7 linked regions of the Ovis aries genome follow. The protein of the gene in region 2 binds, or shares a complex with, the protein of the main gene of each other region. Links are inferred from orthologs where the notes say so. Each region holds a gene or a part of one and is shown on either strand. Other genes may lie near its edges.

Region 1 (3,943 bases), on a different chromosome or scaffold from region 2:
CTCCTTCTGACAGACTTATTAATAGGGCACCAGGCTGCATGCAGCTGACGCTTGGCATGACTGTGGGAGAAGGTGGGGGAGGGGTCAGAAGTGTGGGGAGCTGTGTACCTTGCAGAGAAGAATTGGCTGGGCTGAGAATGAACAGATCTGAAATCCTGAAACAAGGAACCAGACTCAGGAGAAGCTGGGCTCCCAGCGCCGGCTGTAGTTTATTTGTGAAATGAATGGGGAACGAGGATGTCAGTCCAAGGGGAGATCAGGGGGTTCCTCCTCATCAGAGTCAAACTCAACATTTTCATCTTTTACCCATCGACCTCGTCCATCTGGGATCCATCCAGAGCTGGAAACACCAGAAAATAGAACTGGTCAGGAAAGGAAGTTTATTAAATTAAGAAAAGCATGTGTGCGAGTGCTCTGTCATGTCCAACTCTGTGACCCCATGGACTGTAGCCTGCCAGGCTCCTCTGTCCATGGGATTTCCCAGGCAAGAATACTGGAATGGGTTGCCATTTCCTTCTCCAGTTGGGAATCTTCCCAACTCGGGTCGAACCTGCCTCTTGTGCACTATAGGATTCTTTACTGCTGAGCCTCCTGGGAAGCCCCAATAGTTCTTTCTATCTAACTGTAGTTAATTTCCTGAACTATTTGAAAAAAAAGTTACATATGTAAGGAGTCTTTGTGCATGCATGCACGTGTGCTAAGTTGCTTCAAGAGGAACTGACTCTGTGACCCTATGGAATGTAGCCCGCCAGGATTCTCCAGGTAAGAATACTGGAGTGGGTTGCCATGCCCTCCTCCAGGGGATCTTCCTGATCCAGAAATCGAACCTGCATCTCCTGCATTGGCAGATGTCTTCTTTACCACTGTGCCACCTGGGAAGCCCCGGGGGATAAGTAAAAACACTTGAGAAGCTCTGAAACAAGGAGGGTCAGAGATAAAAGGGAAAAACTGAGGAAAAATTCTGCATACTCACCTTCGAAGGGTGAGGTAATGATCCAGGGCCCGTCTTCTTGTGGGGCTCATAGGTGCGGGGGATGAGACAGTGGCTGACTCCTTGGTCTGTGAGCCAGCCTCAGGCTCAGGTTCTCTACTGATCTTCCCACCTTGGGGTTCAGCCTCTGCGGGTGGCAAAGGGGGACGAGAGACAGAGGGACGAGGGGCTTCCGGTCTGGACAGAGAAGAATCGAAGTCTGTAAAAGCAGTAAAGGAAAGGGCCTAATCTCCTGTGACTCCCAACTCCTTATAGGAGTGCTTCCCAATTTTGTGTTCCTCAAGATATTAGTAAGTGTTCTGCATAAAAAGAATTCTGGAATCCAGTAAATTTAGGAAAGTCTAAATCTTTTAAGGTTTTTTTTTTATCTTATGATTTTGTAGAACCCTTAAAATACACTAATTTTTAATCAAATAGGATTACAAAGCACTTTTTTAGTTACAAAAATCTTTTTCCTGAAATACAAGTTAACACCCCCAGAACACTTAGTATGTCTCAGATTACAATTAGGAAAATAATCACTTTAGAGCTATCTATCTCTTGTCCCTCCCTACCTCTGGCTTTCCCATCCCACTAACCTGTACTTCCGGCGGCAGCAACTGTTATAGTGAGGAGCTCTGTGCAGAGCACTCTGAGTGATAAGTCGAGTCTGGGTTAAGAGAGGAGCCTGGCATGGAGACAGCAGAGTCAGAGCCTTCAGAGCCAGAAATAAGCCAAAGTCCTTTAGCCTAAGGTGTGCAGCACAGTCCTGCCTGGAACACAACTTCCCCTCTCTGATTACCTCTGCTGTGGTCTCTTCTCTCCTGAGTTCATTATGCTGTCTTGGATTCTGCTCTGTGCCCTTTCCTGCTGGCTTCTTGCCATAGAAAAGCTGCAGGCCTGAGGAGAAAGGGGAAGAGGATTAAAAGCAGAGCACCAAGGGTGGTCTGAAGAGATTTTAAGGGTTTACTCTATTGTCTGTCTTTTCCCAAACTTACTGGACAGATGTTTTTTGCCTGCACGGTGGGCAGTCAGCATGGCCAGAGTGTCCAGGACGGGTCGGTGGGGACAGATGGCACAAGCAAAGCTGGGGAGTAAGAAAGATAATTGGTCCCTGGGGAGTGGAGTCTTGGTCATAGGTCCCACCCCGTCCAAGCATTCATTTCCAAAGCCCAACTCCCAAGTCTCCCAGTCTCCATCACCCACATCCCTGTTACTCACTCCCAGCCAAAGAATCCTAGATACTCCCGCTCTCCTCCTTAATAACAAAAGTTCTTGAGTCTCTAACTTCAAAACCCTTAAACTTGATCCACTCCTCGCTCTCACCGTCCATCCCGTAGCATCAGCGCCTCATCCTCTGGGATGTAGCTGGCAAGCAGGTCCCCGACCCTTCGTTTCTGCAGGAGACAGGGGAAGAAGTCCGCACGGGATCAGCTGGATATGAGGGAAGGATAAAAGGGAAATGATAGAGACGAGGACTGAAAGGGAATAAAGACCATGGGAGAACACACATCTGCGGTGAAAAAGGGGTCACCACCACCTCTAGTCTTTTGGTTCCCTCCACTCCGCCCCCCAGTTGTTGCCACAGCAACAAAACAGCTCCTTTACAGCTTTCAGAGGGCAGGTGAAGCTGCTTCGGAAGCACTCCTCTCCGCATACTTTGAGCACATTGAGCTGACTCCAATCGTCTCCTTCCCTCTTGAAAGACATCAAGACTGTGAGCCCCAGAAATCAAAAACTCTATCCAGCCGCCTTCGCCACGCCTTTCAGGCCACCGTAGCAGGAGTGGGTCGTCTCCGTTCCTTCCGGTCTCTTTCCTGCTGGCCCCCTGACTTCCGGGGGTGTGCTTCCACGAATGCACTGCGCGATCCCGGAAGCCAGCTTCTAGCCGGCCGAGGGGGACTGTATTTCTTATGGTGCCCTGCGACCTCACCGGCGCGGGGCCTTTTGGGAAATGAAGTCTTTTTTCAAAGAGCTTGCCGCCGGGCTGGATCCAGGCCCTTTCGTCTTGGCAGATTCGAGGCGTTTGGAATGACAAGAACCTAGATGAGGAGCCCGAATTTGAGGGTGTGACTGATTTGGTTTGGAGAATACCTTTGAGGATCTCTGACGGAGAAAGAGTGCTACAGACTCTGGCTATTGTCACGCCCTTCGCCTGCAACCACAGCCCATATAGGGTGGGCCTGATCTGTTCCTGACCCTAGAGGGCTAACCCCGGGACCGGGCGGAGTCGGGGTATTGGGGAGCCTGGAGGTCGGGCTGCCAGACGTAGGGGCAAATTGAGCTGCGTGTTAAGGAGGCTGCTAGAGTTCAAAGGTCAGGGGTCAACGTAGCGAGTTGTTGTGGGGAGTCGAAAGTCGGAGGGGTGCTAAGGAAAGACTCAGGTAGGGACTGAATAGTCGGAGTACAGATTTGTGGGAAGGGGACTTGCAGGGAGGAGAAGCTACGGCTGACAAGTCGCGTATCGCCGGGGGAGGCGGGGAGACTTAAGAGAGAAGACTGAAAGAGAGGAATCCTCTAAGATACCCATTCTCGGACCGCGAGCCCGTCATTATCGGTCACTTGGCCGGGCCTCCCGGGGTTGTAACCTCAGTGTCCGCAGGGTGAGGAGATGGCTTCTCCCTCTAGACAGGCCCCCCTCGGGGGGTCAGGACTGCTTCAAGGGAGCCGGGCTCGTTCTTATGGAAGCCTGGTGCAGTCTGCCTGCTCCCCGGTGAGGGAAAGACGCCTGGAGCATCAGTTGGCGCCCGGAGACACCCTGGCTGGACTAGCACTCAAATACGGGGTGACGGTGAGTCTTCCAGGATTGGGACGTAGACACCCAATTAGAAGAGGTTTATTCCTCATGAGAATGTATGGCCCTCTAGGCAACTTCCCCTGAAATTTTCTTAATTGTGTTTATATTAACTAATTGTGATAAATTGACTGTGATAAAGGTTTGGTCACCTTTATCTTTTTGTTTCCTCATCTCAG
Region 2 (3,175 bases):
TACACGATGTACCGAGACTACATCAAGAAAACCGCGCAGGATACCAGGGAGAAGTAGGAGTCCTACCGGCCCAGGGCGGTCGGACCTCGTCAATCCTGGGTGTGCACCTAATAAAGGAGTTCGAGGCAACTCACCAGTCTCTCCTTCACACAGTGGACAGCAGGGCGAGGGAAGGCTCTGGGGACCAGAGGACCTCCAGGGCAAGGAGAATCTTCGGGGGCAGAGGAGACCTCTGATCCCAGAGACCCAACCACTCCCCAGCCCTCTCAGGTGCCGCCCACAGGAGTGGGAGCAGGGGCAGTAAAGAGGCCTCAGTGCTCATGGGAACACTGAGTGGAGAGGCAAGCGCTCCTCTCTGGGGACCAGGCAGGAAGAAGGCTGCAGCTGGGAGCAGACAGGGAGGCCTCGTGGGAGATGACAGAGACCTAGGACCCAAGTGCCAGGACGAGCCTGAAGGGAAGAGGGTGGAGCAGTGGGGATGAAAGGAATGGACCAAGGCAGAGGTCAGAATGTTCTGTTCACTTATATAACATGTCTAAGGTCAAATTTCGACTAAGAAAAAAAAAAAAATTTCACGTAAATCCTGAAGACAGGGCCCCTTGGGCTTCAACACTTCCAGACGCTTCTCCTTCCTGGACCCTGAGCTCTTCTCTCTCCTCTGGGAATGGAGCCAGGCTGAGGCCATAGGAGGAACCAGGAGGCCCAATGCTCCTCCCTCTGTGCTGGAGGCTTGGGGGCTCCGGGCTTGTTGAGGATGGCCGCAGCAGCCCCAGACATGCTCTGACCACGTGGAGTCTGAGGCCCACCAGGGCCCAGCTTCAAGTCCAGGGTGTGGCCCAGCGCAGGGAGTGGGAGCTGCCATGAGGCCTGGTGCTCACATCGGGTAGTTGAGCACCACATCCTGCTTGGCGAGCTCCAGCAACATAGGATCATCGAAGAACTTGCTGATGCTCACGTCCTCGCTCAGGCCCTGCAGAGTGTGAGGGCAGATGCAAAAATGAGTCTTGCATGATTGCGCTGTACTTGAGTGAAGGGGCGGGGGGCATGTGCCGGCTGAGCTATTTCGGGAGTCCTGCGATTAGGGTATCGTAACAGAGCAGGAGAAGGCTCTCCCTTCCCAGGCATGTGGCCCCAGGCCTGGATGCCTGAAGCCTGGGAAGACCACGTCTCCCCACGCTGTGCAGTAAAATGCTCTTAGTCTTTGGGAGGAGGGTCCAAAGGCAAGAAACAAAGAGCGATCCAGCTCCTGACAAGACCACCTGGGAGTGGAGGGACAGCCGTGGGCCTGAGGACATGTACCTTCCTACGACGGGTTTTGATCATGAACTCTCGGGCCAGGTGGGGAGCTGGCTGTGGCTCCAAGGGGCGGATGACAATGCTCTTGTCCAGAGGGTCACCAGGTACAATCTGAAAGGCAAAGCGGTTTCAGAGCTGCTAGGCCGAGAAGCAAGATGCTTCTCTAGGATGCTGGCGATCCCCCTGGAGGTGGGCAGGTCAGAGGGGACGGCCTTGCAGAGGTGGGAGACCGCAGTGGCCAGCCTGCACCATCTTCTTACCTGCCAGTGGTGGAAGACAGACAAGGAGAAGGCCTGGCCCTGCGTGTGAGTTCGCAGATCAGTCTCAAAGCCAAAAGAGTCGATGGCTGGGATGAAAGCTTTGATGGTGTAGAGAGGAGAGCCTGGGATGGGTGCGTCCTGAGTCACGTGTCCCCTGAGACAGAAAAATAAAGGCTGAATTCCTACCCCTGCGGAGGCCAAAAGCAGAGAAGCAATGTACCCCCAACTGCTGACCAGCAGAGAAAAGAATAACCGCAAGTGCCCCACAGAGGGCGGAAACAGCTGGGGCTCTTCCCACTGCTCCCCATGGAAGTCAAAGGGGCAGCGACCTGTGGGCAAGAGTGGAAGATTGATAGGACAAGGCCCTGCAGACCCCCCCACCACTGACTGACATCCCCCAGGAGCTCTCTGAGGAGGGGTCCGAGGAGAAACCTCAAACTATGACATGTAGTGAGGCTGGGGATGCCTCATCCCTTTCCTGCTTCCTTCTGTAAACCTAGGCCTCAGGAGTGGAGGTTGTCGGGAGGCCAGCCCCTCTGAATTCCTTCTCACTGGAACTCAGGCTTGCCGCCCCCTTCCTCAGGTGCCTGGTGGCTTACCTGCGCCTGGCCAGGACCGTGTAGACAGCAGAGACACAATCTGCAGGGGCCTGGACCTCAACGAAGTAGTAGGGCTCCATCAGACGAGGGGTGGCCTGCAGCAGAGCGGGATGACAGGGCTCCTCAGCTTGGGCAGAGCTGGGGGACAGCAGTCTCGAGGGGCCCCGTCAGAATAGCCCCCCTCGCTCACCATGAGGAAGGCTGAGTAGACGACTCTCCGGGCTGTGGGGATGATCTGGCCCCCGCCCCGGTGCAGGGGCTCCTGGGCAACCACTGCATCTAGGATCTTAAACTTGACATTCCGAATCACTGAAAAGGAAAAGGGGGAGCGGCCTTGGGAGTGGGTCTGGTGCTAGTCAAGGGTGCAGGGATCGAGCAGCAAGGAGCCTCTTGCAGCACTGAAGCTGTCTTGTATCCACGAGGGATGTGGTACAGAATCAGCCTACAAGTGTGTATTCTAACAGCGTATATGGAGGTCAGAGGGTAGGCAGATGTTTGCAGTGTTGGTCTCAGGACACACTCAGACCACATAAAGTAGCTCGAGAAGTTTGTGTTTCTTTTCCAGATATTTGATTATTTTTGGATGTAGAGTAAATTTTAGGAATTGCACATTTGTCCCCACTGAATTCAGTCCTGCTCTATAAACCACTTCAGTCCCATCCTCCTGATGATATCCGTCCTCAAACACATTCCAGGAATGAAAGGCAAATGTCCACCTAGACATGACTTCTATTTCTAGGATGTACCAAGCCGTACCACCAGGACAGGGAAGGAGACGAGAGGAAGCTGGCTCAGAACACCGGACAGCCGTGTGGGCCCCAAGTTGTGTCTCCTGCCAGGTCCCAAAGATGAGCCCACCCGGACTATACACCCAGACGCAAGGACCCCAGAGGACAGGGCAGAGAAGGCAGAGGTGCTGGTCGACTTACACTCATCACAGAGAGGCCCTTCCCTGGTTCCCCACTGGAAACCTTGAACGATGCTGTCCTTCACTGAGCCGAGAAGAGCCTTGTCCACCTG
Region 3 (4,229 bases), on a different chromosome or scaffold from region 2:
AAATTTGACTTGTCTGCATCTTGAACCCATTTAATTCTAATCAGTGTTTATCTTGGGTCCTCAGGATATTATATCATTTTTTGATTGTGTCCCACCTCCTACCCTCCTATCTCTTGGGAAGAATATCATCGAGAATTTGGTTACAGGAAAGGGTCTTACTGAAGGTAATGGGTTTTAAGAAACTATCACCCTTCACCCTCACCTGAGAAATATCAGCTTAAGCCCAGAAAGGACAGGCTTTTCCACTTTGCCATAAATCACTCCAAAGGTGCATCCAACTCCAGGAAGCACTTGCCAGGAGTTCAAGAAGGTAAGATTACATCAGCCCTGGCACCTTTAAGCCAAAGCTACAGCTCCTACACCAAGCAGTAGGTTGCCCCGCTCCAGCATATGAGGTGAGTTATCTTTCCACGATTACAAAGAAAACCTAGTAACATCAGATACAAAGTCAAAGGGGCCACAGTTCATTAAGTGGCTGCTGGTATAAGCTGCCCCCACCCCCACCCCAAACAGAGATAACCCAGACGACTGGCCTGCCTCAAAAACTCAGCTTCTCCCAACTCTGCTCCGAGGGAGACTAGCTGGTCCTCAGGCTGAAGCAAAACGGACTTAAAAACATTAACTTAAGACATTCTGCACAGGGCTGACAAGCTTGGGGCGGGGTGGGGGTGGGGGTTGTAATGTTTTTACCCTGCCACGTATGTAACACGCTTCATGTTCTGCAGGAGAAAACTGCACCTCTGTCTGGCCCCTTACTCGCAGTCATAAAAAAAAAAAAAAATCATTCCTCAGGGGCAGCCAGCCCGGTTCAGCGGATGGAAGCTGCGAACACCACGGTCTGCTGGCTCAGCTCTTGGCTCAGGCCCTGGGCCTGTAGCTGGGCTCTGGGATAACCCGGGTGTCCGCCGCCCAGGGTCCGGGGGGCGGGTACTCCTGGGTCCGGAATGATAGGTGCAGCACAGCCCCCGGGCTCACCCCGGGAGGCGTGCGGTCACTTGGAGGAAGCGGTATTATTGGCCTCGGGCCCATTGCCTCCTAACATGAGGAGACAAAATGGCGGCCTCGTGGGGGCGGGGGAGAGCGAAGCTACCTCCGGGTTCCACGCCACACTAGAACTACAACTCCCAGCATGCTCTGGGCCGAAGGCGGGAGCGATCGAGGGCTAGCGACGCTAGGCCCTGTGTCCTCCTGCTCCCCGTCGGAAACCCCCTGGAATGCGTTGCTTCCTCCGGGCCGCTCCCGAGACCCTCCTCGCAACTGCCTGACGGGAATCGTAGTTCATCGACAACAGAGTTGACTCTCCTTCGGGACTCAAGAAACTACACATCCCGTGCTGATTCGGCGCCTGCGCACAAGGCCGCGGAGCGTACTACGGTTCCCGGCGGGCCTTGCGACGCGCGCGGTTGCGTGCTGACGCGTTTAGTTGGTCGTGCTGACGTGCAACGCGGCCCAGGCGGGGTGCGAGTGGCGCAGTCGGAGCCCGCTGCGGCCCCTGAGGAAGCGAGGAGGCGGCGGTGTCGGCTGAGTCGGGCGGACCGGCGAGGCAGGGCCGCTGCTCCAGGCCCCGAAGGACTCAGGAGCTCGATCTGCGGCAGCACCTCTCCCCCTCGGAGGCGGCGGGTGGAGGCGGCGGCGGGTGAGAGGGTGAGGGAGCGAGCGAGCCGGGTGGGGGAGGGGCGGCGGCCCCGGCGCCAGGCCAAAGCGCGCGGAGAACGGCCCAGGCCGCCGCGCGCACGCGCGCTCGCCGCCCCTAGCTCGCGCGGACGTCCCCGCTCGCCTGCCTCCCCTCCCCCTCTCCCGCGGTTCCTGTCGCGCGCGGGCTTTTATTCCCCCTCCCCCATGGCAACGACGCGCGCCGCCGAGTGCACTTGGGCTCGCGCGCGTTCTCGGCGAGGAGTGGGTAGCGCGCGACTCGGGCTTCTCGTCTCCCAGACGCGTGCGGCGACGAGGCCCTGTTGCAGCTGTCCTTGCCGACATCTTGTTTGCGGGGAGGGGGCTGCGGCGGCGGGGGCCGGCTGTCGGCTCCTTTGCCCCGCGCCTCGCCGGCGTCCGGCCTGTCCGTCCCTCCCCGGGGCTTGGGGTCTGGTCCTGAGCCTCCCAGACTACCGGGCGCCGCGCAGCCCCCTCCCCCATCCCTCAAGGCCGAAAATAGGTCTTGGCGGCTCAGCCTGTGCAAAAAAGGTCTTGAACTAGATATCTCCTCGATTTAGGCAGTTTGGATTCGTTACTGTCTGCCATGAAGTATTAAGCGAAGCATTCAAAACGTTTTTTTTGTTTTTAATTAAGTACTCAGTCTAGGTATGTTAAGGCAGACCACGTGCTCTTTTCTTTTCTTGCACCTTTTCATGGTCTCCAAAGTTGTGTTGAAGCTGGGAAGGCGGCTGCCAGCCCTTTCTTGAGGAGAAAGCGCAGGGTTTTATTATAATTTGACTCAAAACTCTTCCAGACCTCGGTTTTCACGCAAACGCTTATGTAAGATATCTTTTGGGTCAAAAATTTTTAAAGTTGTGTTGTGTTTCCTTTTGAGTGTGTTGAATCTAGGCACTCTCTTACTGAGCTAGTACTTCAGCTTTCTGGGTTCCATAGTCCCTCGTCAGCTACTGTGGTGCCCCAGTGCTGAACTTGATGTGCTTACGTATTAGTTTCATTTTCCTGCACTCTCCGCTCCCTTTTTCCTGCGTTTCTTTCCTTGACTGTCGTAATACTGAATTTTAAGACTCCTTTTGTCTTGTTTAACATGTGATAATTCTCCAACAGAAAAATGCTTTTTATCTTCTTTTGCAGCTTGCTTTTCATCTGCCTTTAGCTTTGGTGACTTTTGCATGCCCGTAGTCCGTGGATCCTAGTTTAAGTGTCTCCATTTGGGTTTTGGTGATTTGTGTATATGTATTATCGATACACTCCTCCTGTCTATCTGTCCTTTGTGAGCATTGTCTTGGATGCCATGGTATTTCTGTTTTTTGTTTGTTTTCTTTGCTGGGTCATTTTCTAAAAGTAGTTTGTTGTGATTGAATACCCTTTGCTTAGCAGCTGCTGGTTATCCTTTTCCAGGGAGTGGGAGGATTATTGTGTGAGGTGGTATGGAAGTGTGGGTGAATGGTTAAACTGAAAAATTAATTGCAGGTCAGAAGCTTTCTGCTAGGGAAGCAGAAACTAGGTAGGGTATAGAGAGCCAGAGAAAATCTAGCTTAAGAGCAAGGAGAAATTTTGAGAAAGTAAACGTGAAGGTTGGAAGATTTCTTGTACTATAAAGAAATTTTTCGTTTCACACAGTTCCACTTGCCTTTCCTAGATTTAGCATCATCCTTTACCCCAATATGGTTATTTTTTTGTTTTGTTTTCAGATCTCTAGAGTCTGCAACTGGGATTGGGTAGGGACCCAGCCTTAGAGTTGGGGGGGAAGGGGTACCAAACTGTTCTAGAGTTGAGCTGTCTTCTTTTCATTCAACATCTACCTGTAAAGGGGGAGGTTGGTACATTTTCCCAGGTGTTTATGTTTCTTCCAGAGTATTTTAAATGGAACTTTTCTTTTTATCCAGTTCTGTGTTTTTTTTCTTCTGCCTTCACTAATATCTCAACTTTGTTCCTTGGGTTCTTTTCCTGGGGTCCTTTTCACTCACACATTTCCTTTGTGAAACTATCTTGGACAGGAGGAGTTGGAGGAAAAAAAAAGTACATAGAGCAGGAGAAAGGAATAGTCTGTGTAGTCAAGAAACCTAATCAGAAAAAAACTAGCATTTGAGGGTTTCTTCAGAGTCATGTGGGGCTGGATGAGAAAAACTAGGCAGTAAGGTAATGAAGGGACTGTTAAAGTCAGCAGTTTGACTTTAATGAAGGTGAGGGAGAAAGAGTGGGGTTTTTGTGACTAAGTGTAGGGAAAGGATGTAGAGAAGGTATGGGGAACAGTTGGACTAGAGGAGACTGCTTTGATACATAGAGAGTTTGAGTTGGAAACGCAATCTTTTCGTAGGAGCTAGGGAGACTTGGGTGAGCCACAAACCATGTGAGAAATCCTATTGGGAAGGAAATTGAAGAAATAACATATCAGTCAGGATAGTTGATATGCCTCTTACCTGAGAGATGATGTATATGAGGATTATGTATCCAGGCTTCATGTGTTTCTGTAGTGCGTGCTGGCCTTTTAGGTTAGGCCTCCTTTTGGATATCAAGGGGTTCTCGAGTCAATTTGTAGTCATAATTTCTGGCTACGTTCAGGGTAGCTAGCCTGA
Region 4 (4,230 bases), on a different chromosome or scaffold from region 2:
TACAGAGGGCAGGTCTTCGCAAAACCAGGGGGAAAGTTCTGACAGCAGGGAGGAGGCCCTACTTGCCAGCGATGAGCGGGTTCCTCAGGACCACGATGACAGAGTCCCCGCGCAGGAACATCTTGGAGATGTAGCGGTCCTTGTTGACTGGCTTGGACTTCTTCTTGCCCTTGCCGCTCTTGGGGACCTCCGTCCACATTTCCTTCACATTCTCCAGCACCATGTTGCAGTGCCTGGTGGGGACGGGGAGGCAGCAGGACTGAGTGAGGGGTGTGTCCTGACCCTTCCTCTGGGCGGCACTGCCTCTGGGAAGGGGGAGAGCCAGGGCTCCGAGGCTCGGGCAAAGGACTTCACCTTCTGCGCCTCAGTTTCCTCGTCTCTAAAATGGAGACATTCATGGTGCCTGCCTCCTATGGCTGTTGTGAAAATTAAGTGAATCAACACACTATTTTTCTTATGGGCATGTGTGATGACAGTGTGGAATAGCTCGGTCAACAAACGTTTACAATGATTAGAGCAATGAAAAAAAAACCAGGTAAGAGCCCTGTCTTCATGGGCTCTGCAGGCTAGTGAAGGGAGAACACGAAGCAGGTAAACAAACACACCTGTAATATACTGTCAGGTGGTAGTAAGTGCTATGAAGAAAAACTAACGCAAGGTAAAGGGATGGGGGGCTTCCCAGGTGGCTCTAGCGGTAAAGAACTTGCCTGCTAATGCAGGAGACATAAGAGATGCAAATTCAATCCCTGGGTTGGGAGGATCCCCTGGAGGAGAGCATGGCAACCCATTCCAGTAGTCTTGTCTGGAGAATCCCATAGACAGAGAAGCCTGGTGGGCCACAGTCCATAGGGCTGCACAGATTCAGACACAACCAAAGTGACTTAGCCCTCATGCACACACACAAAGGAATAGGAGGATACAGGGAACTATGACTGAGTGAAAGAAAGAAAAGAAAAAAATTGGGAAAGCTCTGTATCTTGCTATATAGTAATCTACGGTGAGGAAAGCACTTCCCAAATGCTAACTAAAGGCTGCATGTGTTTACTGAGCATTTATCATGTGTTAGGTACTGAGCCAAGTGCTTTTCATACATAGTATTACTGAAGCCTCATTACTGTTCTGAGGGATATTATTATGACGCATATTTCACAGGTAAGGAAACTGAGGCCCGGACAGCATACCTCCCCAGACCCTGGTGCTCACCTGTCGAAGGCCTTCACGCGGCCCAGGAGCTTCTTGTTGTTACGGCAGTTGATGAGCACTTGAGTGTTGTTTTTGACTGACTGCGTGAGCACGGAGAGCGGCCCCGTGTTAAACTCCTCCTCCTCCCGCTTCTGCAGCTCCTCTGGGGTCATCTCACTCTTGGGCTTGTTGAGGAGACTCCTGAAAAGACAAGTATGGAACCCAGAGGTGAGCAGGCCCATAGCCTGGGTGCTCATGGCCTCTCCCTTGGTGTCTCCCCGACACATATCCCTCTCTTCGTACTCAGTCCTCTCTCTTGCTATCACCACTTGGATGCCTAATGGATATTTCCAATCCTCGCATGACCTAGACTGAACTCCAGACCCCCCATAACCCCAACTTAATACTATCCACAGCCTTCCTCATCTCTGTCAGTGGTGACTCCATCCCTCTGGTTCTTTGAGCAACTTGACTCTTTCTTCTCTCACATCCTACATTCAATCTGTCAGCAAATCCTGCCATCTGCCACTAAAACCTATCAGAATCTGAATTTCTTACCTTGGCTTAAACCTCCATCATCTTTCCTAGGTCTCCTTGCCTCCACCCACGCTCCCCAACAGTTCGCCCTCCACAGAGCAGTCTCAAGGGTGGTGTCAAGAATCATCTCACTCTTGAGTACCCTCTCAGTGTAAACAGTAAAGCCCAGCTTTTACCCTCACTCTGTTCCAGGCACAATGGCCTCTTCAGTGGTTCTTGAAGCTATCAGGCAAACCTTCTTGGGCCCCTCTATTCACTTTTCCCTCTGCCTAGGTACGTCCCCAGGTACCTTTGCAGTTTGCTTTCTCACTTTCTTCAGGTTTTTGCTCAAGTGTTGCCTCCTTCATGCGTTCTGTCTCTCACAAGAGACATTCCACGCTGTTTTACCCTGCTCTGTTATTTCTTTATTCAAAACCCTATTCCCTAACACATTCTAGAATTTACGGATTTATTACCAGCACGTTTCCTGCCTGCCTCTTCCCATCCCGTAAGATGTAGAAGAGGATTTTTTTTCCCTTGGGGAGAGTGGAGTAATTCAGTGATATAAGCTATGCGTCTAAAGCAGCCTAATACACAAACAACTCAATAAATAACTGTTGAGTGACTACATAAGTAAAATCATCCCCATAACTCGTTATCCATACCAATGGCGGATGTGATCGAAAAGCCAATTGTCTCCAGCTACGCCTCTTACCTTAAGACCGCTTTTCCTACAAGTCCGTACTCCTCATCTCCCAGGTTTTTAATTCGTAAAAACGCTTCCTCTTAAACTTCACTTCAATAAGATTGCTTATTTGGGAAAGCCCAGCCTGTTATCTGATAAAGCTGTCCCCGCTCCCGAAGTCAGGATCCTTCAAAGGCCCCACGTCCCCTCGCAACTCATCAGTAGAAAGATACGCCACTTTACCCCCAAATGTTTGCTTCCGCGCCCACTTCTGCCTACCCACTTCAACCGGTAAGTGGCCAAACTTACACCCTCAATCCCACTGCCGCCACCCAAACCCAGCCCGGCCTCACATGATGATGATGGTGACCGCGTTTTCAAGCCACTACCGTCTCCTCCGTGGTGTGCCTCCCGAACAGAGAGCCAGAGGCGGGACTTCCTCTTCCTACGGCCCACTTCCGCGCGCGCCTGCGCATACCCAACCAGCGAGTGGGGCGTGGCCCGTTGCTATAGCGATCTCCGCCCTCGGCGGAGGCTGCCGAGTAGAAGCCTTACTTAGTAAGTAGCTCCAGGCCACCATTCAAGACAGTGCTGGGCAGATATTCACGACCATGGAGAGGAAAAGAAGGCGGGACTGATTAAAACCATTTTGTTGCAGAACCGCATAGGTTGAAAGAGGGGAATACTAGCCATTTCCAAATGCCCGCCCGCTCTGCCTTTGGGGGCGCGGCCTTGGCGAAGCCAATCCCCTCCTCGCTTCAGGGATGGGCACCTCCCCTTTCCTTCGGAAACTGTTGATTTACGTGTATATTGGTTTTTCTGGACCGGGGAGAGGGTCCATCCGGGAGCGGCGTGGATTTGCGCCCAGTAAGGCTAGTGTTTTCGGTGATCAAACGCTTCTCATTGGCTTCCCCTCCTGCGCTGAGGCGGCGCCTACTTCTTACGCTCTCCCTTTTGGGTTGTGCAACCCGGGGGAACCAACCCCCAAAGCTCCCTGAAGACAAGGAGCCGCGTCCTCAGGCCGAAAGTCCCATTTGCTTTACTGCTCGTGGGGGGGGCGGATGGTGCAGCCGCTCTTGTTGTTCATTGGTCTGGCTTATTTCATGGGGCGGGACTTGGCTCGGCCTTAACTCTATCCGCCGTCTCCGACCGGTTTCAGGGCCAAGCTGCCATGCGTTCCGGGGGCCGCGGGCGGCCCCGACTCCCGGTCGGGGAACGCAGCCTTTTGGAGCGACCCTCACCGCCCAAGCGGCGCCTGATACCGCGGGCACAGCTGTTGCCCCAGCTGCTGCTGGCTCTGACAGTAGCCTTGGTGTTCTATACCATTTGGAGCAGCTGGCATAGCCAGACTGAAGAGCTGCCGCTGGGCCGGGAACTGCGGGTGAGGACGGGCGGGGACATGGGCACTGCGGAAGCCCTTACTCCTTGCCTCCCCTTCCCCACGGTCTCATGGGGAAGACCCTAGGTTGGGTTAACCTGGCTTTGTCTTTACCTTATGGCCCTAGCTGCAGGTGCCGCCGTCTCCGTTCTTAGAGCGCATACCCCTTTCCAATGCAATGAGGCTTCGGGCTTGTTTTGTAATAGCGGTTACCCCGTAAGAGAGTCTGGAGTAGTAAGACTTGGAGTTCTGGGTTCTAATCCTAAAGGCAGCTATTTGGAAGAGTCCCTTCCTCTCGCTGGGCCTTGATTTCCCTCATCAGGATTGCCGTGGGCTGCGCAGGATGGGTTTGGAGGGACTTCTAGAAACCTCTGATGCTGGAGGCTGCGGCTAGGAAGAGGAGGGCAGCCTCCAGGATATGGTTGGAATGAGGGTCGTTTTCATGCTCTGCTCTTCTCTTCCCTACCTG
Region 5 (4,260 bases), on a different chromosome or scaffold from region 2:
TTAAACTTACTTCTGCCTCAGGATCTTTTGTTGTCCCCGACTGGAGGCCTCTTCCCCGAGATCTTTCTGTGTGTGGTTCCTTTCCAGTGCTTTCTCTCCAGAAAGTTGTTCCTGGAACACTCAAGCCCAAGCAGCACCCTACCTCTCTTTTGCATTTGATCAACACTACTTTTTTCCCTCAAAGAACTTATCACTATCTGAAATTACGTTTCTTATGTATTTGTTTAGTTTGTCTCCCCTGCTCTGCCACGAGAAAGGCTCTGTAGTGCAGGAACCTTACCAGTGTAACATGACACTGTTTCCCAGTCTCTAGTTCGTTTAATGAATGAATGATTGAACGAATGCTTCCAACAACCCTGCAGGGTACAGGTTATTGAAGAAAGTAGTTTTGATAATGGTCTTGGACATTAAGACCAGTTGCAGTCGCGGCAATTCAAAGAAACCCAGGCTGATATTCTTGCCAGACAGAAGCACACTATTAACAATCTGCAAATCTCCTTAGTTTCCAGCTTACTCATTTACTCAGGAAATACTGCGTCAGGTACCGTCCCAGGCACTTAGGAAACAGTACTGAACAAAATAAAAAATGAAGCTTGTGTTCTAGTGGGAAGGACAGAAAAGAGGGAGGGTGAGCAGAAACAAGTAAAACATATAGACGGTGGCATGTGTTATGGAGAAAAACAGAGCAGCAATGTAGATGAGCACAAGGTATGGCAATTTAAAATGGGCTGGTCAGGAAAGTGGAAAAGTGTTATCTGAGCAGAGATTGGGAAGAGCTGAGTGTATAAACCATGTGGACACTTGGAAGAAGAGTATTTCAGTAGAGAGCACAGCAAATGCAAAGACTTTGTAGCAGGAGCGTGGAAGCCACTGTGACTGGAGAAAGGTGAGCAATGGAAAATTGGTAGATCAGAGAGATCAAGTGAAAGAGGGCAAAAGATTGCCAAGATTTCAGTTTTACTCTGACTGACGTGAAAAACCATGGCAAGTTTTCAGCGGGGGGTAATATGATCTTATGTTTAGAAGGATTCCTCTGGCTACTGGTTTGGGAATAGACTGAGCATCCATAAACAGAAACAGGAATTCCAGTAGGATCCTACAGCCATAGTGCCAGATGAGACAAGTGAAGTGAAAGTGAAATCGCAAAAAAAAAAAGGAAAAGTGAAGTCACTCAGTCGTGTCCGACTCTGCGACCCCCTGGACTATAGCCTACCAGGCTTCTCTGTCCATGGGATTCTCCAGGCAAGAATACTGGAGTGGGTTACCATTTCCTTCTCTAGGGGATCTTCCCGACCCAGGGATCAAACCCAAGTCTCCCACATGGCAGGCAGATGCTTTAACCTCTGAGCCAACAGGGAAGCCCTAATGGCTTAAACCAGGAGCTAGTGATGGAAGTGGTAGAAAGTGTTAGTCACTCACTCAGTCATGTCCAACTCTTTGTGACCCCCATCAACTGTAGCCCGCCAGGCTCCACTGTCCATGAGATTTCCCAGGCAAGAAAAAAGGAGTGGGTTGCCATTTCCTTCTCGAGGGTATCTTCCCAACCCAGGGACTGAACCTGGGTCTCCCCCATTGCAGACAGACTCTTTACTGTCTGAGCCACCAAAGAAGCTGGAAGGTGGAAGAAGCGGTAGTGAGTCTGGATATAGTTTGAGGGTGGTGTCAACATTTGCTAACCAGCTGGTTGAGGAGTTGTGGGGGGCGGGAAGACATATATTTTGTCAGCTGAGCCTAACAGGATAGAAGCAGAGGTGTGATCACTACCTCAGTTTTACAGGAAATGTAGTTAAGAGCATGGATTCTGAGTTTAAAAGCTGTTCCTGGTGGTTTAGTCACTAAGTCATGTCTGACTCTTGCGACCTCACTGACTATAGCCTACCAGCCTCCTCTGTCCATGGGTTTCTCCAGGCAAGAATACTGGAGTGGGTTGCCATTTCCTTCTCCACGGATCTTCTGACCCAGGAATCAAACCCAGGTCTCCTGCATTGCAGGGAGACTCTTTACCAGCTGAGCTATGAGGGAAGTCCTATCACTTACTATATAACTTTGTTTTCCCGTCTACAAATTAGGATAATAATATTTCCTAACTCTTGGGAAGTTACCGAGATTAATGCAGTTTTCATTTACACAGCACAAGGGCTCAACGGATGGTAACTATTCTTTGGTTATTACTAATACCAGTGCAGAGAAACAACGGGAAAAGCAAGTTTCCCAAGTCCCCAAAACGAGCCAGCGGCATTCATTTCCCCCCTTCCCTCATTCATTCATTCATTCATCCATCCAATCTTCCAAGTTTTCTGAAATTTATCGTTTATTCTATACTGGATCCCTGGAACATTTAAGAAGTCAAAACCCTGGTCTCGGTTTTTAGCTCAAGATCCTCAATTCTTAATTCTAACACCTCCTCACAGGGCGGTCAAGACGCTGAAAACGCGCGTCAAATGGAGAAACGCAGGGAGAATCGCCGGGTGTACGCCGCTTTTACCGTGTTTTTCTGCTTTAACTCCTAGGAGAGAGAGTCCCGCTCCGGCCGGGAGTGTGGGTTAAGGGCCGCGCAGGATCACCAGGTGCTGAGGAGAGAGGAAGATGAGCTGAGGGCCGAAGGCCGCCTGCTCCTTATACTCACCGCTTGCAGCAAAGCTCCCGGCGCCGCCTGCTGCTGCCCGGCTCCAGGGCCCGACCCTGCCGCTCCCAACAGTAATTCATGTCGCTGCCGCTTCACTGGGACCAGTGGCAACTCTGGGCCCTTACGCTTCTGCTGTTCTATCATGGCGGCAGCCGCTATCCTCAGGCCGCCACTGACCGCGCCGACCCCCTCAGGTACCTCACGATTGGCTCGGACTTAGTCTTTCCCGTAGAACTTCCGGCCGATAGAACCCAATCGACTTCCAATATACCTCTCAGCACCGCCCCCTGAGAACTTTCCTGTTATTGGCCAGTTCTTTCTGACATCACTAGAGTACGAATTCAGGATTGGTGGATAGAGCTGGAGTCCCGCCTAGGCGCGCTGTGTCTTGTGGGTGGAAGCTCACTGACTGGGTTTTGGTGTTTCGCGCAATGCTGCGAGGGAAAGACCAGAAGCAGACAACAAGTAAGTGTAAGGAAGGTCGAGGGGCGGGTGGCTGTGGGATCTGGAGTGGTCTGAGGCTGGCTCTTCTCAGATGCAGGTTTGATTGCAAGGGGCAAAGGGGGCCCCGAGTTCCTAGCTCTGGTGTGTAGTAGCCTGGGTTCCAAGCCTAAGAAACGCGGGTTCGATCCCTGGGTGGGGAAGATCCTCTGGGGAAGTGCATGGCAACCCACTCCAGTGTTTTTGCCTGGAGAATCCCACGGACAGAGGAGTCTGGCTGGCTACAGTCCATGGCGTCGCAGAGTCGGACACGACTGAAGCGACTTAGCACCTAGCCTGGGTTCCCTTTCTAGCCTGGAGCAGAGTTTTGGGAGCCTCTGCTCAGCCTGGGGCCCTCGATGGCTGACTTCTTCAACAGTGTTTTCCGTGCAGAGCCCTAGCCCAGGCGATCCCAGGGAGAAAAGGCCCATCTCCTAGCCTCCATCAGGGTCCTCTCTGACTGAAGAGGCGGACTTGTCACTGCCATGATTCCGCAGCCTTTACTAGCGCCTCCTCAGAAAGATAGAGATGAAGGTAATGTCCGACTCTTGGCCTCCGGAGTACAGTTTTGTTGAGAAATTCGAACTCAGACCTGTGAACTAGGCCTTCTTCTCAGTCGTCCAACTAATATTTATAATACAGAGCACTGGGCAGACATTGTGAACCAAACATGGTCCCTGACTTCAGAGCTTTAAGTCTGGGGTTGGGGGGAAATAGATGCTCACCAGATCTCACTAGGAAATGGGAAGTATGGAAGTGTGTGCTACCTAGGAGAGGTACCTGGTGTTAATGAGTGCCTGAATAAACAGGACGGCTTCTGTAAGGAAAATATGCCTGAACTGATAGCCTCAGGGAAGAATTATAATTAGTTGGGTGAAGCAAGGAAGGCAGAATGTTCCATCTAGAACAGCATGTGCAGAAGTCCTGTGGCAAATGCGAGGAAAATGAGTAAAAGGCACAAAGAGGCCATTGTGGCCAGGACAGAAAATGAAGGGGAGTGTGGTACAAGATGAAGCTGGAGGCGGGTAGAGGCCAGACTTTGTAGCTTTTACTTTAAGATTAATGGGCAATCACAGGGTTCTGTGTGTGTGTGTGTGTGTGTGTGTGTGTGTGTGTGTGTGTGTGTGTGTGTGTGTGTGTGTGTGTGTGTGTGT
Region 6 (4,112 bases), on a different chromosome or scaffold from region 2:
CACCAAGAGCTTAGGTCTTAAACATGACAGTAGGGACTATAACAACAGTGGCAGGCAAGTAAGTCCTTGACAAATACCTGCCGAATGAGTTAACAAAAGTATTGATTTTATTATGGAAACTGTAGCCTCAGGAAACTTAGGATACAGTTTACACATGCTAGAAATAAAAATGGAAGAATTTCATAGACAGAAACCATGGGGCCTTAAAAAGTCTGGCTGCTGTAAATAGTCAAAAACTCCTTAATCTGAATTGAAATAACAGTTGCTAAATATCCCCTAGCTCTTTCTAAAACAGAGGCATAATAAGATGAAATTGGTATCAACTTCATTATCATCTCTAATCCAATCCAATATAATCTAATCCAATCAATCCAATCCAATCTAATCTTTCAAGAAACTGCTATAGCTCTCACCCCACATTTAAAAGCAAACAAACAAAAATAATAATCCATTCCTATTACCACATGAAAGAAAAACTACTGTCAACATAATGTTATGAGAGATGTCTAAGGTAGTATTGGTACCTCGGGTTGGCCGATCTCTGTTTTTTTCTCTTGCAGCAGCTCTCTCTCTCTCCTCCAACTCTCTCCTGAAGTCACGGTTTCGAACTTCTTCAGGGGCATCCTGAGTGGTCTGTCTAAAGTAGAAACAAGACAAGGCAAAGTTACTTCTAAAAAACACACGGCTGTAGTAATGGAAGACAATTCAAGAAACACAACTTCAGCCTGAGTCCTAAAGCAGAAAACTCCACTAGGGGATAAACAAAATCATCAGTCTAATCCAAAAGTTACTAAGAGGCATCCTGTGATGTCTAAAACCTCACACTAAATCAACATACTTTTAAGAACCTCAAACTAAATCAACAACCTTTAAGAACCTCAAACTAAATCAACATACTTTCCCATAGTAAGGCAGCAGGTTGATCAAAACGCTTATACTTTTTGTTAGTATGCTAACTCAGGGCTTGTTACAGCAACACTTTTAATCTCATACTGATTTGTATTGATAGTGCTTGCTCCTCCTGACAGAATGTATTATTAGTCATTGTTCAATCTACATATAGAAATTCCTGGTTAACTGGAATTTCTGCTTAAGGAATATCTGGTAGCACTTTAAAATCATGGAGCATAATTCTGGGTGTCTGAAACACTACTACATTCTACTCCTATGAAAACAGATAACTTGAGTGATAGTAACCCCAACATGCTACCTCATGACCACATCATTTAACAGACTTGGTCTTGCTTGTGAAACAAAAACTAAAAGGCTTCATTACCTATATTTTATCTTTGTATGAGAGGGTAGGTCTCTGCTTGAATACTGCTTTGAGAGTTGGCTCAAATCACCCTCACCTTTTCCTCTTCCACCTCTTGCAGGTTCAAAAGTTGGCCGAGCTGCTGTTGTCATCTTTTATGCTTTGAAGAAAAACACTGTCAAGTTATTTTCAATATGACAAACTCTCATTTTGAAAAGCATTAATCTATAGCCATCCTTGTGAAATAATTTCCCTAGCTCATTCCCTCAAACATCTGTGACCCCTGGCAAGCCACCAAGTTTAAGTTTCTGTCATCTGTGAAATGGGGATATTCCTCAAAAGGTTATTAAATCAGGAGACGTGACATATCAAAACCTTTATAAAATACAGTACAGCCATGTCTGAATTTAAAACATCTCCACTCAACCTCACGCCACCGGACTCCTTACTCCCATTTCATCTAAACCTCACACAGCAGAACAGGCTAACAACTACAAAAGCAAAGACATCTTAAAAAAAAAATCACTGACAAAGTTACTGAGTGTTCTAGTAAAAAAAGTGTGTTAAGCTTCAATGACAGTTACATAGGCAAATATCTCCAACAATCTTTTGTTGATCAAATTTCCTCCAGTAGCAGCCAACATAATATAAATTAGATCTTTTCCAAGTTACAATTTAAGAAATGCTGGAAACACAAGAGCCCACCCTCAAAGGACTGTAATAACCAAAAATTAGGGACCCGTTTGTGGTTACTGAAACATCCTCAAGCGTCAGAGAAGCAAGTGTCAGGGAAAAACTGGGGGAAATGATATACTTCTCTAGATTTTCCGGGGAAAAAAAAAGGGAGAGGGATGTATCCAGAGAGACAGAAACAGGGTTTCAGGTCTCTGGGGAGCATCGCCGCCTCCCCCCCAAAACAGTCATCCCTGGGGCGGGGAGTTCACCTCCGGGCTGTCGCAGGGAACTCGCTGACTCTTCACCCCTATCCCAGGGGGCGAGGGGCGGCCCTCTGCCGAGATGCCTTGGCGCTGCGCTCTCGGGAGCCGATCGGAGACCAGGGACACGCTCGCTAGGCGCGGAGCCCCACCACCAGTTCGCAGCTCCACCGCCTCCTCCGCATTTACGGGCTCTCTGACTCCGCCCCCAGCTTCCCCTTCCGGCCCCACCGACAGATGGCTCTCCGGTCTGCAGCTCCTGGGCCTCCGCGGCCTAAACCCGGTTAGCTGACTCCGCCCCCAGCTGCCCCTTCCGGCCCCGCCCACAGGCCGCTTTCCCCGTCAGGCCCCTGTGGGGACCGCTCAGTCAGCACTGGATTCTCTGCCTCCGCCCCCAACTACCCCTTTCCGGCCCCACCCACACTAGGCTTTCCTCGTCTGGCGCCTCCAGGGCCCGCACCGAGTTCTCTGCCTCCGCCGCCAACTGCCCCTTACGGTCCAACCCACAGTCTGCTTTCCTCTTGCCGCTCACTTTGGCCGAACTCCAACGCCGCTACCTCCGGAGATCATACAGACGCCATCTTGACTCTCCGCTCCCAGAAACCTCTGCACCCGCGGCCCAAAAAAAAAAAAAAAAAAAATCCCAAGACCCGGAAGCAAACCCCAAGCTCGTCAGGCGCCCGCGGAGGCAAGGACCAGTCAGCGGAGACCAAGGTGGAAGTCGAAGTGACGACGCACGGGGCGGGGCTTAAACGGCCCAGGGGGCGGGCATTTGAAATCAGTGCTTTAGAGTAGACCCTGAACGTTGTTGTGTAGCTTCGAGAGTCAATTAATGTGTGTTCCGTCTTTTCCTTTTCCGACCCCCTCCCAGATTCCTTCATTCCGGTACTGCGTAAACGAAGAGCCCCGAGTAGCCGACACCAAGTCCCCGGCTAGCGAGAGAGCATAGAAAAGGATTACACCAAACTGTTTAAATCCAACGGCTCCTGCTTCCTTACTCCTGAGCTAGACCCAACAAGCCTAGAGAGTTGGGCTACGGAAAGTAGTATTTGCATTTAATTGGATATGAAGAAAGAACAAATATGTACGGGGGCAACCACGATCTTTATAAAGGTACCATTCCTGCAAAAATATTAGTCTTCACAACGAAGGTTGTATTCGTAACGTTCGTTAAAATATTTACTTTTTATAAAAGCCTAAGTTCTAGTGGGAGGGGAGGTGTCACTGTCGAGATTCATTTATATACTAACAGACATTGAACGTTTAGAACGGTGGCCCAACTGCCAGGAGCCCTAGATGCAGTTACTATTGTAAGATGGCTACTCATGCGTTAGGGAAAGTTTTCATAAGGTAACGAACAGGAAAATTAAAAAATCACCAATCGTCCTAACTCCTTCCCCCACCAAAAGCCCTCTGGGAGCATGGATTTTGTTTGCCTTTCCAGTTCAACTTGGTATCTAATCACATAATCCTTGGCCACAGTAGATGCTCAGTAGATATTTGTTAAACAAATGAAAATTGAACTCCCCCCACCTTAGTTTCAAATGTAAAGAGCTCATAACATCGAACAGAAAAAAGCTTTCCCCACCAACGCCCCCAGAACTCCTTGAACGTTAAATGAAACAAAGCATAGAAAAAGTCCCTTCCCTCATAAAATTCAAATTGCTAATCTTGATTTTTCTTACCAAAGGTATTAATTACTCTCCTAATCTGCCACATCTCAGTAAAGGACACTACTACCATCAGGCTAGTTACTCAAACCAGAATCCCAGCGCTCCTCTTAAATCCCTTTCCCTTCACTTTTCTCATCTAGTTTACTTGCAAGTCTTCCCAATTCTACTTTCAGCATATACCCCAAATTTCATTCCACTGCCTTAGTCCAAGCCAGCATCATTTTCTACCTGGATTGTAATTGTCCCCTA
Region 7 (4,128 bases), on a different chromosome or scaffold from region 2:
GGGGTCACAAAGAGTCGAACACGACTGAACTGACAACAGTGCCCTGTGTGATCCTCCCAAAACTGCATTTGGTAGAACAGCACAACCTTCCCATGCATAACAGCTATGTGCAAAGCACAGTTCAGCAAAGGCTGCCACAGAACAAACGTGGTCAAATAATACTGGGGAGGGCAGGTTAAAACAAAGTTAGGGCTTCTGAACCACTGCACTTCTCAGCGTCTTTTCTAAGTACCGTGAATCTCCAAGTTGCATGGAGATCTCCAAGTTTGAGTGGGTGGAGGGGTGGTGGTGGTGTATATTTCTCAAAACAGCTCCTGCAAGGAGAACTGGAAGGAACCACAGGTATAAATCAACACATCTTTTTTTTTTTTTAACAGTTGCAGAAACAGGCCCAGGAGGGCAAAAAGAAGGGTTCAGGACCACACAGCTACTACATGTAAGAGGAAGAGAGAGAAGCGGAACCGCAGAGGCTCATTTCAGCCCTGACACTTCCAGTGCAAACAACGCCTTCGGCTACTTGGGTCCGCCAAGTGTTGCCACCTCAAATTTTATTTTCAAACCATACTAAAGTTGAGGTTAGTTTTTCTGGGCCAACTGCCTCCTAGGCCTACAGACAGGAGTCTGTCTCAAACACCCCTCCCCCACTCCGCCCTATATACACTTTCCCTGTAAGTCCGTTTTTGGCAGTGGGAGCTGGGCTGCTGCGGGGGAGATCGTTTCTTTCTTCTTTTCTTTCCTTTAGAGTTTATTTTTGGACTGTAAAATTTTTCTTGTAAACCAAACGAACCTGATCATTTTAACCTTCCACCCTTGGGCGGTACTCCTTACCCAGCGCACACTAACCTACCCTACCTACTCCCTCCCTCGCCCAAACCCCTGCGGTTGGTCTTTACCTGGAATTGCCATGGCGTTGGTAAGAGGGGTCGCAGAACCCCTAGGCTTTGGAGGGTTCTCTCGCTTCCCGCTGGTCGCGAGGACAACACCCAGCGAGGGGGCCGTGTTTCTCCCACCCGCGCCGCGCCACCCGGGTGACAGCAGGGGAAGGCCCTAAAAGCGCCTGGAGATTGCGGAACCAAGTGGCTGCTGATGCAGTTTCCGGGGGAATCGTATTGTACGCCACACACGGCGCGAACCATTACTGCCAGCTTCGAGGAGGTGAATGAGACCTGTACACGCGTGTAGTGAAGTAAACAACACCAAAACTTACGAACTGTTGTTTAAAAAATTGGAATACAAGTTAAATTCATCTATAGGAGTTTAATAGTCTCTTCTCAATTCCCTGGACGCCATTGGAATCCCCCTTTTCAGGATTAGCGGTGCTCGGGTCCAGGAGCAACATGGCGGCGTCCGTGAGGACCTAGGCTTGGGAAGAGCTAGTGTTTGGTGTGGTGCTACTGTCTTGCGGGATATTGACAGGCTGGAGCTTTCCGCGACTTGCCAATTTAAGGAAGCGTGTACCGATAGGTGGGCAGCTCTAGTTACCGGCGGTTTGCTCTCATCCCCATTTAGGAGCGGAGTTCTGAGCACTGACCGGAATGAGCAACATTTATATCCAGGAGCCTCCCACGAACGGGAAGGTGAGTCTCACCTAGGGTACCTGGGCTCCCCAAAGCGATATCTCATTGAATAAAGGAATTCTGGGGTTGTAGGGTTGGAAGGGATTACAAAAACTTTACCTCTGTCTCTGAGCAGGATTGCACTGAAAGCCACATGCTGGCACTTCTCAGCACATAATTGAAAAAGTCCTCAAGTGGAGATTTCTCCATCAACCAACCTCCTGGCCCTACTGTTCCTTGTTTTGCTTCAACCTAACTCTGCATGCGTTTTCTAGGGTCGTAGGTAAAAAGCCAGGTATGTTTTAAAAATTGACATTCTTTTGCTAAACTTGGAGATCGCGATTTCTCCATTTTTTCCACAATTCTATATTGACTGAATGCCTACTAGGCACCAGGTGCGGAGAATACGAAGATGGATGGATAAAACCTGTTGCTGCCCTGGAAGAGCTAATGGTTTTAGTTTTAGAGACAGGCAGGTAAACAAAAACCTAATAGTATGTTTGCGAGGTGTTCTAATGGACAGAGGAGCATCTGCTATGGTATTACTGAGAAGTTAGCAACTGGGAAAGTAGAGAAAGTCTTCGTGGACAAAGTATCTTTTGACCTGGGCTTTGTCAGCGAAACTGGGGAGTGGAAAGAAAAGCCAGCATTGTACCTATTATCACAGCTTAAGTTGAGTGAAATATACATGAAATAGTCATGCAAATTAGTGTATGCAAACTGTGTTAAACATTGTCCTTCTGAACAGAATTGGACTGAGAAAGAATATCAGGCATAGCCCAAGTTTTCCTTCAAAACCAGTTTGGAACTTTTTATAGCATAAAACCAGTTGAAGAATTGAAGCTTCAAAATTCTGTACCGTAGACAGCTTGGCAAGAATTTTGGCGTGGAGAACTCAGAGCAGTGCTATGTGACAACCTAGAGGGATGGGATGGGGTGGAAGGTGGGAGGTTCAAGAGGGAGGGCACACCTGTATATCTATGATTGATTCATGTTGACGTATGGCAGACACAATGTAAGCCAACACAATATTGTAAGGCAGTTATCCTTCAATTAAAAATAAAAAGAAAATAATTTTGGCCTGGAAAGAATTTAAAGCAGATGTAGTAAGTTTGCTTAATGAATGTTTGTTTAGTCATCTGTACTAAAAGGATTCAAAGATATTCCAAATAAATGGGACAAAATTTCTCTCTTTAAAGGGTAGTATCAACTTAGAAAGTACCCCTTGAAGAAATTTCCTGATCTACTGAAGATGAAATTTCCATGTATAATGATGATTTAATCTACATTTTATATTAACCCATATGTTTTAATCTTAAGAAACATTATCACAGTATTGTCTTACTTGTAAGCATTAAGAAAAAGAGCCACTGATACATGACAGAGTAGTTGTGGCCAAATGGAATGCATAGCCAGAGGAGGAGCAATGTACCTTCTTTTTTAATTCAGTAGCTTACCAATGAAAAGATTAAGAAAACCTGGTTAGAACCGTGACCCAACCATAATGTGGTTTTACCATATAAACTTACAAGTTTCCTGTTGTCAAAAATTTTTATAAAAATAATAATTACAACAATTATAGCTACCATATTTTGAGCATTTACTCTATCAGGTACTGTTCTGAGCAGTCTGTGTATAATAACTCATTTTGTCCTTACAGCGAACCTATGAAGATATTACTATCCCTATTTTTATTTTTTATTGAAGTATGGTATATGTGATATACATTATTAGCTTCATGTGTGCAACATGATTTAACATTTGAAACATTACAAAATGGTCACCACAATAAGTCTAGTTACCACTTGTCAGCATACGAAGTTAATGCTATTTTATCGACTGTATTCTCTATGCTGTACTTTTCATCCCCATGACTTACTTATTATGCAACTGAATGTTGGTACCTCTTGATTCCCTTCACCTATTCTACCCCTCACCTCCCACCCATTTTCACTGTTTCTCACCTCTGGCAACCACCAGACTATTTTCTGTATCTAAGTCTGGGTTTTATTTGTTTCTGTTTCAGAGTCCACATGTAAATGGAATCATGTGGTATTTATCTTTCTATGTCAGACTGAGTTCATTTAGCATAATACTCGTAAAGCTCCATCCATGTTGTGGCACAGGGCAATATTACTTTCTTTTTTATGGCTGAGTAGTATTCTGGTGTGTCTTCTTTATACTCATCCATCAGTGGACACTTAAGTTGTTTTCTTATGTTCAATTCAGTCACTCAGTCGTGTCCGACTCTTTGCGACCCCATGGATTGCAGCATGCCAGGTTTCCCTGTCTATCACCAACGCTGGGAACTTGCTCAAACTCATGTCCATCGAGTTGGTGATGCCATCCAACCATCTCATCCTCTGTTATCCCCTTCTCCTCCCTCTTTCAGTCTTTCCCAGCATCAGGGTCTTTTCCATTGAGTCAGTTCTTCACATCAGGTGGGCAAAGTATTGGAGCTTCAACTTCAGCATCAGTCCTTCAAATGAATATTCAGGACTGATTTCCTTTAGGACTGACTGCTTTGATCTCCTTGCAGTCCAAGGGACTCTGAACAGTCTTCTCCAACACC

The links.
Region 1: EFTUD2 (region 2) and SCNM1 share a complex: the UniProt entries of both Homo sapiens proteins name them as parts of the minor spliceosome. The link is inferred for Ovis aries from reciprocal best matches to the Homo sapiens genes EFTUD2 and SCNM1.
Region 3: EFTUD2 (region 2) and SRRM2 share a complex: the UniProt entries of both Homo sapiens proteins name them as parts of the minor spliceosome. The link is inferred for Ovis aries from reciprocal best matches to the Homo sapiens genes EFTUD2 and SRRM2.
Region 4: EFTUD2 (region 2) and SNRPD2 share a complex: the UniProt entries of both Homo sapiens proteins name them as parts of the minor spliceosome. The link is inferred for Ovis aries from reciprocal best matches to the Homo sapiens genes EFTUD2 and SNRPD2.
Region 5: EFTUD2 (region 2) and SNRNP40 share a complex: the UniProt entries of both Homo sapiens proteins name them as parts of the minor spliceosome. The link is inferred for Ovis aries from reciprocal best matches to the Homo sapiens genes EFTUD2 and SNRNP40.
Region 6: EFTUD2 (region 2) and CWC15 share a complex: the UniProt entries of both Homo sapiens proteins name them as parts of the minor spliceosome. The link is inferred for Ovis aries from reciprocal best matches to the Homo sapiens genes EFTUD2 and CWC15.
Region 7: EFTUD2 (region 2) and CWC27 share a complex: the UniProt entries of both Homo sapiens proteins name them as parts of the minor spliceosome. The link is inferred for Ovis aries from reciprocal best matches to the Homo sapiens genes EFTUD2 and CWC27.

The regions. Positions count from the first base shown.
Region 1 is NC_056054.1:101,063,967-101,067,909, reverse strand, and holds SCNM1 (sodium channel modifier 1), read right to left. Parts: upstream 2,801-3,943; 5' UTR 2,681-2,800; coding exon 2,579-2,680; intron 2,405-2,578; exon of another isoform or gene 2,368-2,404; coding exon 2,297-2,367; intron 2,058-2,296; coding exon 1,969-2,057; intron 1,871-1,968; coding exon 1,773-1,870; intron 1,659-1,772; coding exon 1,570-1,658; intron 1,169-1,569; coding exon 974-1,168; intron 341-973; coding exon 241-340; 3' UTR 186-240; downstream 1-185. Other genes in the region: LYSMD1 (lysM and putative peptidoglycan-binding domain-containing protein 1), read left to right, coding at 3,582-3,761. UniProt on the Homo sapiens protein: As a component of the minor spliceosome, involved in the splicing of U12-type introns in pre-mRNAs. Plays a role in the regulation of primary cilia length and Hedgehog signaling.
Region 2 is NC_056064.1:44,303,292-44,306,466, forward strand, and holds the end of EFTUD2 (116 kDa U5 small nuclear ribonucleoprotein component), read right to left. Parts: intron 3,173-3,175; coding exon 3,085-3,172; intron 2,465-3,084; coding exon 2,346-2,464; intron 2,251-2,345; coding exon 2,156-2,250; intron 1,711-2,155; coding exon 1,557-1,710; intron 1,408-1,556; coding exon 1,195-1,407; 3' UTR 971-1,194; coding exon of another isoform or gene 875-970; 3' UTR 501-874; downstream 1-500. Other genes in the region: HIGD1B (HIG1 domain family member 1B), read left to right, coding at 1-57. UniProt on the Homo sapiens protein: Required for pre-mRNA splicing as component of the spliceosome, including pre-catalytic, catalytic and post-catalytic spliceosomal complexes. Component of the U5 snRNP and the U4/U6-U5 tri-snRNP complex, a building block of the spliceosome.
Region 3 is NC_056077.1:2,806,516-2,810,744, reverse strand, and holds the start of SRRM2 (serine/arginine repetitive matrix protein 2), read left to right. Parts: upstream 1-1,429; 5' UTR 1,430-1,636; exon of another isoform or gene 1,637-1,644; intron 1,645-1,991; exon of another isoform or gene 1,992-2,472; intron 2,473-4,229. UniProt on the Homo sapiens protein: Required for pre-mRNA splicing as component of the spliceosome. As a component of the minor spliceosome, involved in the splicing of U12-type introns in pre-mRNAs.
Region 4 is NC_056067.1:53,040,971-53,045,200, forward strand, and holds the start of SNRPD2 (small nuclear ribonucleoprotein Sm D2), read right to left. Parts: upstream 2,801-4,230; 5' UTR 2,739-2,800; coding exon 2,737-2,738; intron 1,384-2,736; coding exon 1,204-1,383; intron 234-1,203; coding exon 59-233; 3' UTR 1-58. Other genes in the region: QPCTL (glutaminyl-peptide cyclotransferase-like protein), read left to right, coding at 3,555-3,764. UniProt on the Homo sapiens protein: Plays a role in pre-mRNA splicing as a core component of the spliceosomal U1, U2, U4 and U5 small nuclear ribonucleoproteins (snRNPs), the building blocks of the spliceosome.
Region 5 is NC_056055.1:236,093,947-236,098,206, reverse strand, and holds the start of SNRNP40 (U5 small nuclear ribonucleoprotein 40 kDa protein), read right to left. Parts: upstream 2,801-4,260; 5' UTR 2,771-2,800; coding exon 2,627-2,770; intron 1-2,626. UniProt on the Homo sapiens protein: Required for pre-mRNA splicing as component of the activated spliceosome. Component of the U5 small nuclear ribonucleoprotein (snRNP) complex and the U4/U6-U5 tri-snRNP complex, building blocks of the spliceosome.
Region 6 is NC_056068.1:15,092,414-15,096,525, reverse strand, and holds the start of CWC15 (spliceosome-associated protein CWC15 homolog), read right to left. Parts: upstream 2,801-4,112; 5' UTR 2,651-2,800; exon of another isoform or gene 2,200-2,650; intron 1,431-2,199; 5' UTR 1,408-1,430; coding exon 1,277-1,407; intron 638-1,276; coding exon 525-637; intron 1-524. UniProt on the Homo sapiens protein: Involved in pre-mRNA splicing as component of the spliceosome. Component of the PRP19-CDC5L complex that forms an integral part of the spliceosome and is required for activating pre-mRNA splicing.
Region 7 is NC_056069.1:14,832,922-14,837,049, reverse strand, and holds the start of CWC27 (spliceosome-associated protein CWC27 homolog), read left to right. Parts: upstream 1-1,328; 5' UTR 1,329-1,535; coding exon 1,536-1,577; intron 1,578-4,128. Other genes in the region: protein SREK1IP1, read right to left, coding at 894-906. UniProt on the Homo sapiens protein: As part of the spliceosome, plays a role in pre-mRNA splicing. Probable inactive PPIase with no peptidyl-prolyl cis-trans isomerase activity. As a component of the minor spliceosome, involved in the splicing of U12-type introns in pre-mRNAs.